Callithrix jacchus: one gene and its partners. Each later gene encodes a partner of the first gene's protein in a complex. Links are inferred from orthologs where the notes say so. Each region holds a gene or a part of one and is shown on either strand. Other genes may lie near its edges. The genes, in order: SORT1, NTS and GRN.

Region 1 (4,659 bases):
TGCAACTGACTGTCTTGTGATCTACTCCCATAGTTGGCATAGATTTTAAAATAATTTATTTTAAAAATTAATCTGATAGTCGTTATGAAAGGAACAAACTATTCACCAGTTTTCATCAGCTTTATCTTGTCAGTCCAGTAACTGGTAACTTAAAGACTATTCTTGTGATTTTACTCTCCTGCTCAGATGGCATTCAAAAACATTTTTCACTTCTCACGTCTTACTATGGTTGTTTTGGGAAAATTTTTAAATTCTTAAGTCTTTTTGTTTGAAAGTTAACGTGACTAGAAGTATTTTAATGTAAATATTGGGTTGCTGCGTTGTATCATTTTGCTGTACATTGTATACCCTCATTTGGTTTTATGGCCAGCGTATAGTTAAAAGTCATCTTTACTTTCTTTGAGTGTAACGATTTGCATATTTTGTAGCTTTCTATTTGCTACCTTTTCTACTCAACAATTTCTAACTTTCCAAAGGGACAGAGTCAGTTTAAGGATTCAGAACTGGTTTTACCTGTACTACGTGTTGTAGAAGTTATGTGTGCAGCTTCTGCAGTAAAGGGAACAGCGTAGGGCTTTTATTTTATTCATTGGAGGTGGATTGGGGTTCTAATTTAGAGGACATCACATACTGGAACCAAACTTGTGCGAAGCTCTCACTGCAGAGCTAAGGCATTCTTGTAAAGTACATGTGCATCTAGGAAATTATCATGTAAACGGTAGGCATTGGGTCATTTGCCCCCTTTTACCTGCCCCTAATGTCTAAGTTACATTCGAAGTACTGGAAAACCTGTAATTCCGCCTTTGGCCTACCTCCCCGCAGAAGAGGAAGGCGAAAGAGGCTAAACGTGTGGAAAGTCTATTCTTCAGGCTTGCAGGAGTCTCGGATGTCCTGTCGTCTGTCTCCGTAGGATGTGACCCACACCAGTTCGCATTCACCTTGGCAACAAGGGGGCTGCTTAGCCGACAATGGGCGCTCCAGTGAGCGGGGTTTATAAAAACCTGAAGCCCCGGTTCATGATGGAGCTCCTTTTTCCAGCTGAGCGAGCTCAGGGATTCCCCGGGGGAGATTTTCCAGGCTCTGCCTCACCGAAGGAATTTTAGGGGTGTCTCTGGGGAACAAGAGGGAAGTAACACAGCTCCAACTTGAGGGCGCTAGAGGTGCGGCGAGGGGTCGCGGCGCCAGGAGCCCGGGGCTCGGCGGGAAGGTGGGAAAAGCTCTTACGTGAACTCAGTCAGCCGGGCCCTGGAGACGCTGGGCGAGGCGGGGTTGACCTCAGCAGTCTCTGCCACGTTCCAGCCAATCAGTCCCGCATCTTGGCATCCGAATCCAGGACCCCCGAAGCCGGAGGCGACGCGAGCCAATGAGAAGTGGGCCGGGAAAGAGGGACAGGCGGCCAGCCTATGGGGCGGAGAGGCCCGGCCGCGCGTATCCAAGGAGCGCCGCGCTCGGCTCGGGGGTGTGGCGCGCGCCGGCGGGGGTAGGCGGGCGCGCCGGGCGGCAGGTGTCGGCGGCGTCGGCGGCGTCGGCTTTCGGCGGCGATGGAGCGACCCCGAGGAGCTGCGGCCGTCCTCCTGCGCTGGCCCCACGGCCTCGGCCTCTTTCTTCTCCTGCAGCTGCTGCCGCTTGCGACCTTCGGCCAGGACCGGCTGGACGCGCCGCCGCCGCCTGCTGCGCCGCTGCTGCGCTGGTCCGGCCCCATTGGGGTGAGCTGGGGGCTGCGGGCGGCGGCGGCCGGGGGCGCGTTTCCCCGCGGCGGCCGTTGGCGTCGCAGCGCGCCCGGCGAGGACGAGGAATGCGGCCGGGTCCGGGATTTCGTCGCCAAGCTGGCCAACAACACGCACCAGGTGAGCGGGCGCCGGGGCCGGGCGCCGCTCGGCTTCGAGGTGCCGCCAGTGCGCCCCTCCCGGCCCGCGCGCCTAGCTCGCCCCGCGACTCCCGAAGGAGACCCCGGCCCCACCGCGTCCGCGCCACCCCGGGCCGCAGCTCGGAAACTGCGGCGGGCAGGCGGGCGGAGTCGGGCCCGGGCGGCCGGCTGGGCTGTGTTTCGTCACAGGGGAGGCAATCTTAGACTTCCACCGCATTCTTCTTTTTTTTTTTTTTTTTTTTTTTTTTTTAAGTTGTCAAAATCTCTTGAGCGTCATTGTTTTCCGTCTGTATAAAAAATCAGGACCCAGTAAAGCTGTTAGGCCCCAGGAAGCTGGAGGAGTAATTAATTAACTCTTGAGCGGTTGCAGAAGTTGGGCTGCGCAGAAGCAAAGGTGTGTCCTCCCTGGGTCAGTACTTTCGGGGTGGAGAGGCGGGAGTTCAGGAGGCCAGAAGCAGCGGTCGGGTCACCGTGTGTGTTTTGATAGTTAAGGGGACTAGCTTGGAAATGAGATGGTAGTATTTATGTGATCTCTCTTACTCCTTCAGATTTGACCTTCTGTCGTGGTACGGAACCCTGACTAGTATGTCTACATCTGTGGTGATAAGATTTTCAATACTTAGGAAAGGAATTGCATACATTCTGCTTTGAGCCAGTTCTCCGTCAAAAGACTTTCAGAATTGTGGTATTTCTGTCCCTGGGGACAAGCAAGCTCAACCTTTGCACACTACTGGATTGACAAAACCAGTTATTAAGAAAGTCCTGGCTTCTTGCTTCTGCACAACTTGGGCATCTTCTTTTTCTCTATAATTAACAATTTAATTCTTGCTAGCTACATTTGCATAATGTATTTTCAATTCTATATATTTTCTTGCTTGCTTGTTTTCCTCTTTCACAGAGAATGAATTGCACTTGGGGGTAGGGATGGGTGGCCAAGGCTCTGTGCTTGCACTTGTCTTTCTGTAATCACATTTCAATATCAGCCAAGCCTCAGTTTCCCCTTGGACTGCCCAGTTATCTGGACCATACTTGTTACCTGTGATAGAATTCTCTGATCTGGGGACACAAGACACAAGTATTCAGGAATAACTGTGCTTAGTGCAGCTGGAGCAGCAGTTGTATAAAGGAGGCCAAGCTAGTGCTGAAGGGTGGGACAGATTGAGTAGAATGAGTACTGGGAAGTCTTCCTACTTGATGAGAAATTAAAAAAAAAATAATAGAATAGACTTCCTTCTCACAGTGGGGGGTTGAGAAAGGCTTTACAACACTGATGCTTAATTTATACTGGACCACTTCCTTCCCTGAGCCAGCTGGACACAGCATTCTTATTCCATATTTCAAATTCTTCTCTTGCTGGTTGACCTAACTTTAGGTCTGCAGCTACTCCTGGATTTAGATTTACTCCTTTTTTTTTTTTTTTTTTTTTTTTGGACAGGGTCTTACCTCAGCCTTCTGAGTAGCTGGGACTACAGGTGTGCACCACTATGCCTAGCTAATTTTTGTGTAATTACTACTTTTTTGAGATGAGGTCTCACTCTTTTGCCCAGGCTGGAATGCATTGGTGCGATCACATCTCACTGCAGCCCTGACCTCCTGGGTGCAAGTGATCCTCCCACGTCAGCCTCCCAGGTAGCTGGGACTACAGGCACATGCATCTAGCTAATTGTTCTTTTCTTTTTTCTTTTTTGGAGACAGGGTTTTGCCCAGTTGCCCAGGCTGGTCTTGAACTCCTGGGCTCAAGTGCTCCGCCCACCTTAGCCTTCCACAGAGCTGGGATTAGAGGCCTGAGCTACTATGCCCTGCCTCTGTTTATTCCTTGAGGCAGAGTCTTCCTGGTTAGTTTGAATTGATATGTCATTTGTAATATATTGATTGATTCCAAAGCAAGAGGTTGAGAAAACCAGCTCAGGGGTTCTAAGGCCAAATCTATGGATGAGCCAAACTAAAACCACTCCTTCTTTAAGAAATTTTCTTTTATTTCTTTCATTTAGCAGTTTCTAATGATTTTTTTTTTTTTTAGCTTTTCTCTCCCAGTGTTTTTTCAGTGACCTTATTTATAATAGCTATTTTGGCCAGGCACCATGGCTCACATTTGTAATCCCAGCACTGTGGGAGGTCAAGGCAGGTGGATCACTTGAGGTCAAGAGTTCGAGACTAGCCTGACTAACATGATGAAACCCTGTTTCTACTAAAAATACAAAAATTAACCAGGCTCAGTGTCATGCACCTGTAATCCCAGCTACTCCGGAGGCTGATGCATGAGGATCACTTGAACCCAGGAGGCAGAGGTTGCAGTGAGCCTAGATCACACCACTGCACTCCAGTCTGGGTGACAGAGCGAGACTCTGTCTCAAAAAAAAAAAAAATTGCCCTTGTTGATCATCTGTGGTCTCATCCTTTCTGTATCTGGTTTAAAAAAAGAAAAGTGGAGCCTTTGTTTAATATCCTTTACCTCAAAAGTGGTTAAGTAAAGTACCACTTCCTTAACCAAGAATTGTTATGTAGTAGCCTGTTCTATTTATTTATTTGTTTTTAGAAGTCATAAAGAATCCTGACCTGTATTAAAGAGATCTAGTATTTTGGGACCCTTTATAAAACAGTGTGAAATAAAAGTATCAGCATGACGGAACAACTTTTAATCAGAGATATTGTATGCTTTGTACAACTGGGGAAGGAAAGTGCTCTTAGAATCATTTTCCTATATAATATGACAAGATTTGAGTCCCAAGAAAAATCAAAAGTTCACAGTTCTCTTATTTCTTTTAACTTGGTGCTGTTCGTTTCAAGCCACA
Region 2 (4,723 bases), on another chromosome or scaffold:
AGATTGGAAATATAAAAATTTGCTTTCAAGACACCAACAGAGGAGTAATAGGGCCCAGTATACAAAGTTGCATTTGGCTCAATTAAAAAAATTAAAAAAGGAACATGTAAAAATAACATGTCTGTTATAGGGAGAATTTAAATCCAGACATACAATGAAGAGTACAGTTTAGTAATTCTTAAATGCATTGTAGAACGGTAAATGTCTAGAAGATTATGAACTGCAACCCCTGCATTTAAAAACAAGGAAACACAAGTAAGCAAGGTGAATTAATCCACTTGCTAAAGATCAAATATTTATAAGTCACTGTTTCAGGATTAGATCTCAAAGCTCTTGTTTGCCAGTCCACTGCTCTCCCCTTTCTTCTACATTTCTTTCACAGGGTGTCATGAACTTTTACTTCTAATTTAAGAATACCTTTTTATTTCCCCTAATATAATAGCAAAAAGCAAAGAGTTCACTTTGTTTTCATTTAACTTGAGGCCAATACACCTTTCATCATACCCAATGTAAAAGGCATGGAAACAAGTTTCTTTAAAAACATTTACAGCCACGTAAATATGTGTGACAATTAATTAAAATTGCAACATGCTGATTGATAGAACTCTAGTTTCTTTGCCTCTCATATCAGCACCTTTGACTTCTTTTTACTAAAAGAAATTTTTTTCAAAAAGGAAATGCCTCTCAAGGAACATTTCAATCTTGATGGGAAGTTATTACTATAGGAAAAACATACCATGTTTATAATGAAAGTTCATATGGTCTTCAACCAAGAGTTAAGGAAAATAAAAAGTTACCTTTGATGTATGCATATTGGTCATCAAATCTGCTTCTAATGCTTTCATTTCCTCTTCTGAATCTGAGTAAAATCAAAATCACGTTTACTATAATCACATATCATATAATTATATCATAATCTACAAATTTTAGGTTGATCTAAAATATTAGTTTTAGAGGTTTAGTCTTTCTAATGTATTTTCTTAAAAATAGTAACCCTAAACAACAAGTTATAGTTATATTTTAGCATAATAGGAAGCTAAAATAATAGAAGCACTTCTAAGAAAATGCATATGACTGTTTGTTCAGACAGCTATTGATGACTTGGAGTTGTTTATTCTTTAAATTTCAGATTTTAAAAATGTGATCATATTGTGTAATACATATTTTACCAAATATGCTAGGGTAGTTTATTTTTTACCAGCCATAGTTTACATATATAGAAAATATGCATATTAACATTTAAATACACAACTTAATGAAGATTATATAAGAGACTTTTTCAAGTCAAAACCAAAGGGAATTGCTTATTGATAATTTTTGAATAATAAAGATACTGAGATTTACTTAACTTGAGATTTTTTTTTTAACAAAAACACACTTTGAAGGAACTGCATTTGTACTTTAAACAAGAATTTGGAATTATGTATTTTTAATTTTATCAGAAGCATTTAAGGAAATTGCTTAAGCAAAAGTGGAGCTGTTCAACATCGTATGTACGACAGCATTGACTATGGATCACGGGATTTTTAAAAAACTCTATCTGAGTTTCTGTTAATGAATATTTTACAGAGAAGGAAAATTTAGAAAATGCTATAATAAAAATAAAGTTAAAAATGACTCTATCTTCCTTGTATTACACACCCATTAAAAAGAAATGTCACACTCAGAGAAACCATTTGTTTGATATTACCTAGAACCTAAATTGTACAAGAGATCTTTCTCCCTATTTGTTAGGTACATAATCTATTTTTCAAAAGGAATGGCAAATTCTATTATTCATTTATGAACAATGTATATATCAAAATCCTCATAACTTTTGCATTATTACAGCAAGTACTTTCAAGTTACCAAACACAGTGCTTCATCAATAATCCAGTTTTTCTTTCAGAAGTATTGAAGCTTTAATCTCACATAACTTTCAGATAAACTCATAATTGTAAAAATGTTTGTTTTTCTCATAAGATTTAAAGTTATTTTCTGATGATTAAAATAATCGCATAAATGACATATCTTCTTAGATTTCAATTTCATATCAAATTGTAGCATGAGTTTGAATTAAACATTTCAATGTCATATTTATGATACCTAAAGGCATAGAACAGGTTAAATTATTTTTGCTGCATTTTCTTTCTAAGGTGTTCTTTTCATTTTGAAGTGGTCATTCCAATATTTCTTAAATACTAAGTAGAGCTTTTTGCAATGGTTGTAATATTTCATGTTACACCTTTCAATTTACATCTCATTTTCAAAGTGAGTTATTCATAGACATTTAGGACTATATAACTTCTCCTTTCATACCGCATGCAAAACACTCTAAAGTCAAATCATTTCCATCAATATAAGAATACCAATTGGCCAACTGAATTCTGTATTAATTTAAATGGCATGGAGAAAAAGTACCAAACTGTTATATTAATAGCATACTTATTAGACTATGCACAATGTATTCTCAAAAAGGACTGGGAATATTTTTGTATTTTTCTAGAAATAATTTTCTACAAATAATGCTTTATTTATTCACTAAGCATCAATTTGCACTTCATGTGTTATCTTAACACAAACAAGTAGGAAGATAATATGAGGACTATTAAAATGGCATGAGGGCCACCGCTTGCTAAGAGATGAATGAGAATGAGAATAAAACATTTTGAATGGATGGGATTAATGATGAGTTCGCAGGTTGACAGACACTGCTTATGTACTTCTCATTAGATAATGACCAGCCTAATTGAAAGTTTTGTAGTATTTTTTTCCTCATGGTTGCATTACAAAGGGGGTCATGCAGTGTTTCATTGAAATCCCTTTTATTGCTTTGCAGATTTTAAAAGGGAAAATAAATCTCTCAGTTATTGTAATCATAAAGGCAGAGAAAAAGATATTCACAGTTTCTATCACTGACAGGTAAATCCTAAAAACATTAACATAAGTAGCAACACAATGCAAAAGAGAAAAAATAAATCACTTCAGGGAGTTGTGAAATGCAGTTTTGCTTACCTGAGCACAGACTCAAGGAGCTGAAAGCCAGGAGTAGAATGCATACAAGCTGGATTTTCATTCCTGCCATCATCTTTCAGCCTTCTAGCAAGCCAAGTTCATAAAAGTCAGAAGGACACTGAAGGGGGCTCTCTCTCGTGCTTCCTCTTGCCTTCAGCTGGCTTTGAAAGTGAGTGAACTGTGAGAAGTGCTCTGGCCATTCCCCTACATATATAAGCAGCAGGATGATGTCATTGATTGTACAGGCATTATCTTTGCAGGATGTGCCCTATCTTCACCTCTATCCCTCCCTTCTTTCTCCTCTCCGATTCATTTGTCCCCCCTTTTTCCACCCCCATTTCTGAACCTTGAGTGAAAGTGACGATCTTCCCTAATTGCTGCTGCTGCTTTGGATTTCTGACGCACAGAAGGAGTCATTCAAAAGCACTGCTATATACAGCATACTGATCTCTTTTCCCATTTCTCATTCCCCCACTCCAAAAGTTGTCATTTTGATTTTGTAAAACATGAGATCTGTTATTTCTAATTTTTAAGCAAAATCTCCAGGATGAATCCATGAAATCAGTGACTTCTTAGGCTGGGAAGTTCTTAAAGAGTAGGGTTCTTTTCTGGTAATCCAAACTTCTGAGCAAATGTTTACTGGTTCCAAAACTAATACAGGTTTTAAATAATCCATGCTAGAATAAGACAGAATATAGACAGAGAATCAGTTATAAAAATTAAGTAAATAAATTTGGAGATTAGAAAGAAAATCAATAAAAAAGAAATAATAGATCCAGGGAATAAGATATTATTTCCTAACAAATGGAAAATATTTTATTGTAAGTAATGAGAGATGACTGAACTATGTATGCTGACTTTTGGTTGAATGTATTAGAAAAACAATTTCATGTTTATAAAATCCAGCTCTAAATTACTTACATGCTCTCAGGTAAAAATGTGTATTGTTGTCTCACTGACTTTTTTTTTCCTGTTCATTATCTCTTTTTGTACCTATATTGTTCTGCTCTTTTTGAATTCATTTTTGATGCTGTGTCTTATTCTTTGTGTGATTCTCCTCTCATTAGTTTTTATTATTGCATCAACTTTTTTCCCTGTGATAATCCTCTATTCATCATAAAAATGAGATTGTGCTTTTGGAAAGGAGACAATCCTAAATAACCACCATTCACCAAAGTCACTTTTCTATGATCGTCTTCTTGTATTTCATGAGTTACACTGATACCCATTCTTTGCCTGAGTTCTCAAAAGAAAATTGCTCAAAGCGCCTTTTAACATAAAACTTTCTTCTTGTATTCAGCATTTCAAGATACATGGAGTGATTTGACAAGTCAGTGCTGTTAGAGTAAATATTTAAATGTAAAGTTGTCTGAGCCTGGTTTAATTTTTAAATAAATCAATCATGTAGTAACAGTTGAGAAAAAATAGGATTGATTCCTCTAGAGAATTGATTTACATTATACAGTCTATGAGATTAACTTTTTCACCTTTATCCTAAACTTAAGGAAAGAGATGAATTCCAAACATTTAATAATTACTTAAGATAGCAAGGACTCTTTCATATAACAAGAATTTAATAATAGTTGATATATTTATTATTTTTAGTTCATTTTGTAAACTTACATAAAACACAATATTGAACATACTTGGAGGAAGGTTTCTGTAAAGCATTTAATTGACAAAGAAATGTGAAATATATACATCTAGATGTTTTCTGGTTTCCTACCGT
Region 3 (4,771 bases), on another chromosome or scaffold:
TAGGAAGCCACTTCCCCTTTGACAGCCCCTGCTGCACCCCAGACTGTGCCAGGCACCCAGCAGCGCCTGAAACCCACTGTCATTTGAACGTGGCATTCAATCCCTGCCAAGCCTGCCCTTCCCATCTGGTTTCCCAGGGCTCTTCCAAAAATCTCTCCCTCCACCTGCCAGTTAAAATCTTCCCAGACTCAGCTCAAGGAGATGATCCTGAAGTGGAATTAAATCTCTCTTCTCCCGGCCCGGCGCGGTGGCTCACGCTTGTAATCCCAGCACTTTGGGAGGCCGAGGCTGGTGGATCATGAGGTCAGAAGTTCGAGTCCAGCATGGCCAACACAGTGAAACCCTTGTCTCTACTAAATATCAATCAATCAAGCAAGCAAGCTGGGCGTGGTGCCAGGCGCCTGTAATCCCAGCTACTTGGGAGCCTGAGGCAGGAGAATAGCTTGCCGGGAAGCGGAGGTTGCAGTTAGCAGAGATCGCGCCACTGCACTCCAGCCTGGGCTACAGAGCTAGACTCTGTCTCAAAAAAGAAAGAAAGAAAACAACAACAAAACCGCTTTTTCCCCACTTGAAGCCAATCTACTCCGTACACCTGGCACCTGCGCACAATCTTTTATCTTAAATTAGATCCAATGCCAGGCGCTGTGGCTCACGCCTGTAATCCCAGCACTTTGGGAGGCCGAGGCGGGTAGATCACAAGGTCAAGAGATCGAGACCATCCTGGTCAACATAGTGAAACCCCGTCTCTACTAAAAATACAAAAAATTAGCTGGGCACGGTGGTGAGTGCCTGTAATCCCAGCTACTCAGGAGGCCAAGGCAGGAGAATTGCCTGAACCCAGGAGGCAGAGGTTGCGGTGAGCCAAGATCGCGCCATTGTACTCCAGCCTGGGTAACAAGAGCGAAACTCCGTCTCAAAAATAAATAAATAAGATCCAGCTTGAGCCTGTCTCCTACCAACCCCTGCCCCCCGCTCCCGCCCCGCTGACTCCTTGAGGAAAGGGCTTGGGGCTGCTTATCTTTGTCTTCAAATCCATCCTTCAACTCCGTCTGGGGCCTGCCTAGCATGTCATCCGAGTTTGCAGAATAGGGCAGGACGGGACAGGGCAGGGCAGGGCAGGATAGAATGGGAGCGAAGGAGCCAGCCCGGTAGCTCACGCCTGTAATCCCAGCGCCTTGAGGGGCTGCAGTGGGAAGATCGCTTTGGGATCAGGAGTTGCAGGCTGTAGTAAGCTATGATCAGCTAGGGCAACCATCACTCTAAAAAATAGAAAGGGGAAATTAAAAAAAAAAAAAAGAAAAGAAAAATAAAAAGGAGAGCACAAATATTCCCAATGCCCCACACACGCTATCATCTCTAGCAAACTCCCCCAGGCGCCTGCAGGATGGGTGTGGGAAGGCAGCAAGGAGAGCACCGGCTGCCCTGTTGAGGCTGGCCCGGCGTCACATGATTCCCCAATCACATGATCCCTAGAAATGGGGTGTGGGGCGAAAGGAAGCCGGGAGGTGAGTGATTTGAGTAGAAAAAAAACACAGCATCCCAGGCTGGCCCCGCCTCTACGTCGATAAGTAGCCAATGGAAGCGTCGTATCCCGGACCTCTGGCCAATGGAAACTGAGGTGGGCGGGTCATCGCGCTGGGGTTTGTAGTCCGTGAGCTGCTTGACTGGCTGCTGCTACCCAGGGACCGCGGACCCGAACGCAGGTAGGAGGGCGGCCGCGCAGACCTCTCCTACCCAGGGGCCTGGCCAGGGCCATGTGCGCTTGGGGTTACCCTGGAGTATCAGCCGGAGACGACAGAATACCCGCTTATTGAAACTCCTTTGGGCGTTCCTATACACTGGAAGGAGTTATATGGGGGAGAGGAAGCAGTAATTGCAGTGACCCCCGTTAGAAGGGGGCTCTCCCTCCCCAGCATTCCGGGAAGCTGAAGTCCTTTCCCCCAAAGCAGGGACCACGCCATTCTTGCGCCAGATCTACCGCTATCGGTAGGTGCCGGCGTCTTCCCCTCTCGCGGTGGTGCTGGGTGGTCCCCGCGGCAGCCTGGAGCCAGAGGGGCGCGCGACCCTGGGCTGGGAGCTCCAAGGGCCTGGGAATCGGACCTGAGACTTTGGCTTCTCGAAGGTAGTAGGGACTTGGGAGTGGTGACAGAACCTGGTCTGGCTCCTCCTTACTTCCTCTTGTAGGGGGTGGGACGAGCTAACTTCCGCCTCTCCCAGCCACCTTTTCCTGCTCATTTGCAGCGAGGTTGGCTCCCCTTTTGGGAATTTCCTCTCCGCTTGGCACTCGGAGTCGGGGAGTGCCACCTAGTGGAAGATAACAGAGCTAGGGCTTGAAGAGGCTGCTGTCCTTTCTGGCTGTTTTGGTGGTGTAGGGTGGCGATGAGAGGGTGTGTTTGGCTCTCCTCCTCATCCCTGCTTCTGTATGCCCGTGCATGTATTGAGTAGAAACGTACAGTATACTCCTTCAACTCAGTGTAAACAGGAGGGGGCACATGCACAGGTAACTCACCAGGGAGCCGAACAGTCCTGTGCAGACAGGCTCCCCTTCCCAGCAAGCCAGGGCAGCAGACAGCCTGCTGAGAACACCCAGGAAGCATGTGGTGCCAGCTGCAGGTGCTTTGCCCAGGAGCTGTGAGGCTGAGGAGAGGGTCCACTGTCCAGTACCAGTCAACTTCACCCTTATCTGGCCAGGAGGTGGCCTCTTGGGGATGTTGACTTAGGGGAGGGGCACTTGAGGAAAGCCAGGTGGAGCAGAGGGTGTGAGTGACTGGGTGGGGAGATTTCCTGCCACTCCCCCACAGTGGTGTCCACACAGAGACTCCTGGGGGAACTGAGGCACAGACAGGGAGCAACTTCTCAGGCCATCACAGTTGGCAATTCTAGGATTAGGACCCAAGTGCGATTTCCAGGCAGTCCCTGTACCGTTTTTGTCCTACCTGATGCATCTATCCCCCTGGGGCTTAGGGTCCATTTCCAGGCACTGTCCATCGTGCCGCTAGTAATATGAACCCAGGTCCAATATGTTCTGGGCCCATCAAAGCCTGTTGTCACAATGACCTGATGTGTGACGTGTTATAGGTGTCCCTTCATGGAACTGGGTTCAGGACCCCAAAATCTGCAGATGCTCAAGTCCCTTATATAAAACGGTGTGGTAGCTGGATGCGGTGGCTCATGCCTGTAATCCCAGCACTTTGGGAGGTTGAGGCAGGCAGATCACCGGGTCAAGAGATCAGGACCATCCTGGCTAACATGGTGAAACCACATCTCTACTAAAAATACAAAAATTAGCTGGATATGGTGTCATGTGCCTATAGTCCTAGCTACTCAGGAGGCTGAGGCAGGAGAATCACTTGAACCCAGGAGGCAGAGGTTGCAGTGAGCCGAGATCATGCCATTGCACTCCAGCATGGGCGACAGAGCAAAACTTCGTCTCAAAAAAAAAATGAGCAGGTGTGGTGGCACGCACCTGAAGTCGCAGCTACTTGGGAGGCTGAGGTGGGAGGATTGCTTGATCCCAAGAGTTTGAGTCCAGCCTGGGTAACATAGCAATACCTCATCTCTAAAATAAAAGTAAAGATGTTAATTACTACTTTGGATGGTGGTTGCACAGAAATAAAATATGAAGTGTCTTGTAACTGGCTTAGAAGCCAGTTACAAGACTGTTTTCACTCCTTCAGGCTGTGTAACCTCTCTGGCCACCCCCCTGAGCTAGCTGGGCTAGCTGAGCCTGGGAGAAGAGTTGTTTAGGAAGTGAGAGGCTGCTCCCCACAGAGACTCAAGGCTCAGTTCCTCCTGGTGACTCAGATGGGCAGCCCAGTGGTCACACGTGGTCTCTCTCCACATGTGGCTGAGTTTCACTTCCAGAATAGAGGGAGAGGCAGGGATGGGGATTAGCATGCTTGGGGAATCTCAGAGGGCCCTAGAGGTGTGGGGGACCCTCAGAACACAGGTGTCTCAAAGGCTGACTCAGCCTGTGTCCCTTTCCCTTGGCGAGGAGGGGACATTAATGGCAGGTGGTGACTGGCCTCTGGGGAGGGCAGCCCAGACTCTGCTAGCCACCATACTTCCTTTTTCACAACCTTCTCACCCCTGTGGTTTCTCATGTCCTCATGTGGCTGCTTCCCGCAAGCCTTACTGGGGTACAGGTATGAACATGATGTCAGGCAAGGAGGCATCTGGAGGGGAACCCTGGTTTTTTGGGGGGGGACTCCCTCTCTGCCCTCCAGCCCTGTCCTCTCCCATGGCTACTGATGCCTTCCCCTCACCTCAGAGATATCCCACATCTGCACAGATCAGACCCCCAAAAATCACATCTTCCTGACTTGTAAGCCTGCCCAGCGAGGCCCAGCTGTTAGACCATGCGTTGGGGATTCAGACGCACAGGTATACACATGTCAGCATTCATGCTCACAGGTCCGCACGCGCTGAGGCGTGTGTCACACACAGGGCGCTGTAGTCAGCCGACTTAGCCCCTGCAGCTTTTTGCCTGCCTGGACAGGGAGGTGTTGAAGAGGCTCAGGCAGTCCCAGGCCAGGACCTTGGCCTGGGGCTGGGGGACTGAGTGGCCTCAGAATCAAGGGTGGAATGGGCTTAAGCAGTTGCCAGATGCTCCTTGGTACTTTGCAGGCAGACCATGTGGACCCTGGTGAGCTGGGTGGCCTTAACAGCAGGGCTGGTGGCTGGAACTTGGTGCCCAGATGGTCAGTTCTGCCCTGTGGCCTGCTGCCTGGACCCCGGAGGAGCCAGCTACAGCTGCTGCAGCCCCCTTCTG

Evidence for each region.
Region 2: the proteins of SORT1 (region 1) and NTS are in contact, whole or in part, in a crystal structure (PDB 4PO7), measured with the Homo sapiens proteins. The link is inferred for Callithrix jacchus from reciprocal best matches to the Homo sapiens genes SORT1 and NTS. Residues at the interface, in NP_002950.3 of Homo sapiens: Val112, Ser113, Leu114, Ser115, Trp116, Lys260, Tyr304, Ser305, Phe306, Gly307, Leu308, Phe314, Ser316, Arg325, Ile327, Phe350, Tyr351, Ser352, Ile353, Tyr395, Gly399, Thr570, Gly571, Leu572, Ala573, Trp586, Trp597; in NP_006174.1 of Homo sapiens: Leu152, Tyr153, Glu154, Asn155, Pro160, Tyr161, Ile162, Leu163.
Region 3: the proteins of SORT1 (region 1) and GRN are in contact, whole or in part, in a crystal structure (PDB 8T8S), measured with the Homo sapiens proteins. The link is inferred for Callithrix jacchus from reciprocal best matches to the Homo sapiens genes SORT1 and GRN. Residues at the interface, in NP_002950.3 of Homo sapiens: Leu108, Gly110, Ser111, Val112, Ser113, Leu114, Ile174, Gly175, Pro176, Lys260, Tyr304, Ser305, Phe306, Gly307, Leu308, Phe314, Ala315, Ser316, Arg325, Ile327, Phe350, Tyr351, Ser352, Ile353, Leu354, Tyr395, Thr398, Gly399, Thr402, Phe404; in NP_002078.1 of Homo sapiens: Pro578, Arg579, Trp580, Asp581, Ala582, Pro583, Arg585, Arg590, Gln591, Leu592, Leu593.

What each region holds. Positions count from the first base shown.
Region 1 is NC_133508.1:147,277,571-147,282,229, reverse strand, and holds the start of SORT1 (sortilin), read left to right. Parts: upstream 1-1,476; 5' UTR 1,477-1,541; coding exon 1,542-1,847; intron 1,848-2,152; exon of another isoform or gene 2,153-2,261; intron 2,262-4,659.
Region 2 is NC_133510.1:95,528,257-95,532,979, forward strand, and holds the start of NTS (neurotensin/neuromedin N), read right to left. Parts: upstream 3,177-4,723; 5' UTR 3,068-3,176; coding exon 2,995-3,067; intron 860-2,994; coding exon 798-859; intron 1-797. UniProt on the Homo sapiens protein: Neurotensin may play an endocrine or paracrine role in the regulation of fat metabolism. It causes contraction of smooth muscle.
Region 3 is NC_133506.1:71,185,711-71,190,481, forward strand, and holds the start of GRN (progranulin), read left to right. Parts: upstream 1-1,670; 5' UTR 1,671-1,703; intron 1,704-1,946; 5' UTR 1,947-1,986; intron 1,987-4,626; 5' UTR 4,627-4,633; coding exon 4,634-4,771. UniProt on the Homo sapiens protein: Secreted protein that acts as a key regulator of lysosomal function and as a growth factor involved in inflammation, wound healing and cell proliferation. Regulates protein trafficking to lysosomes, and also the activity of lysosomal enzymes.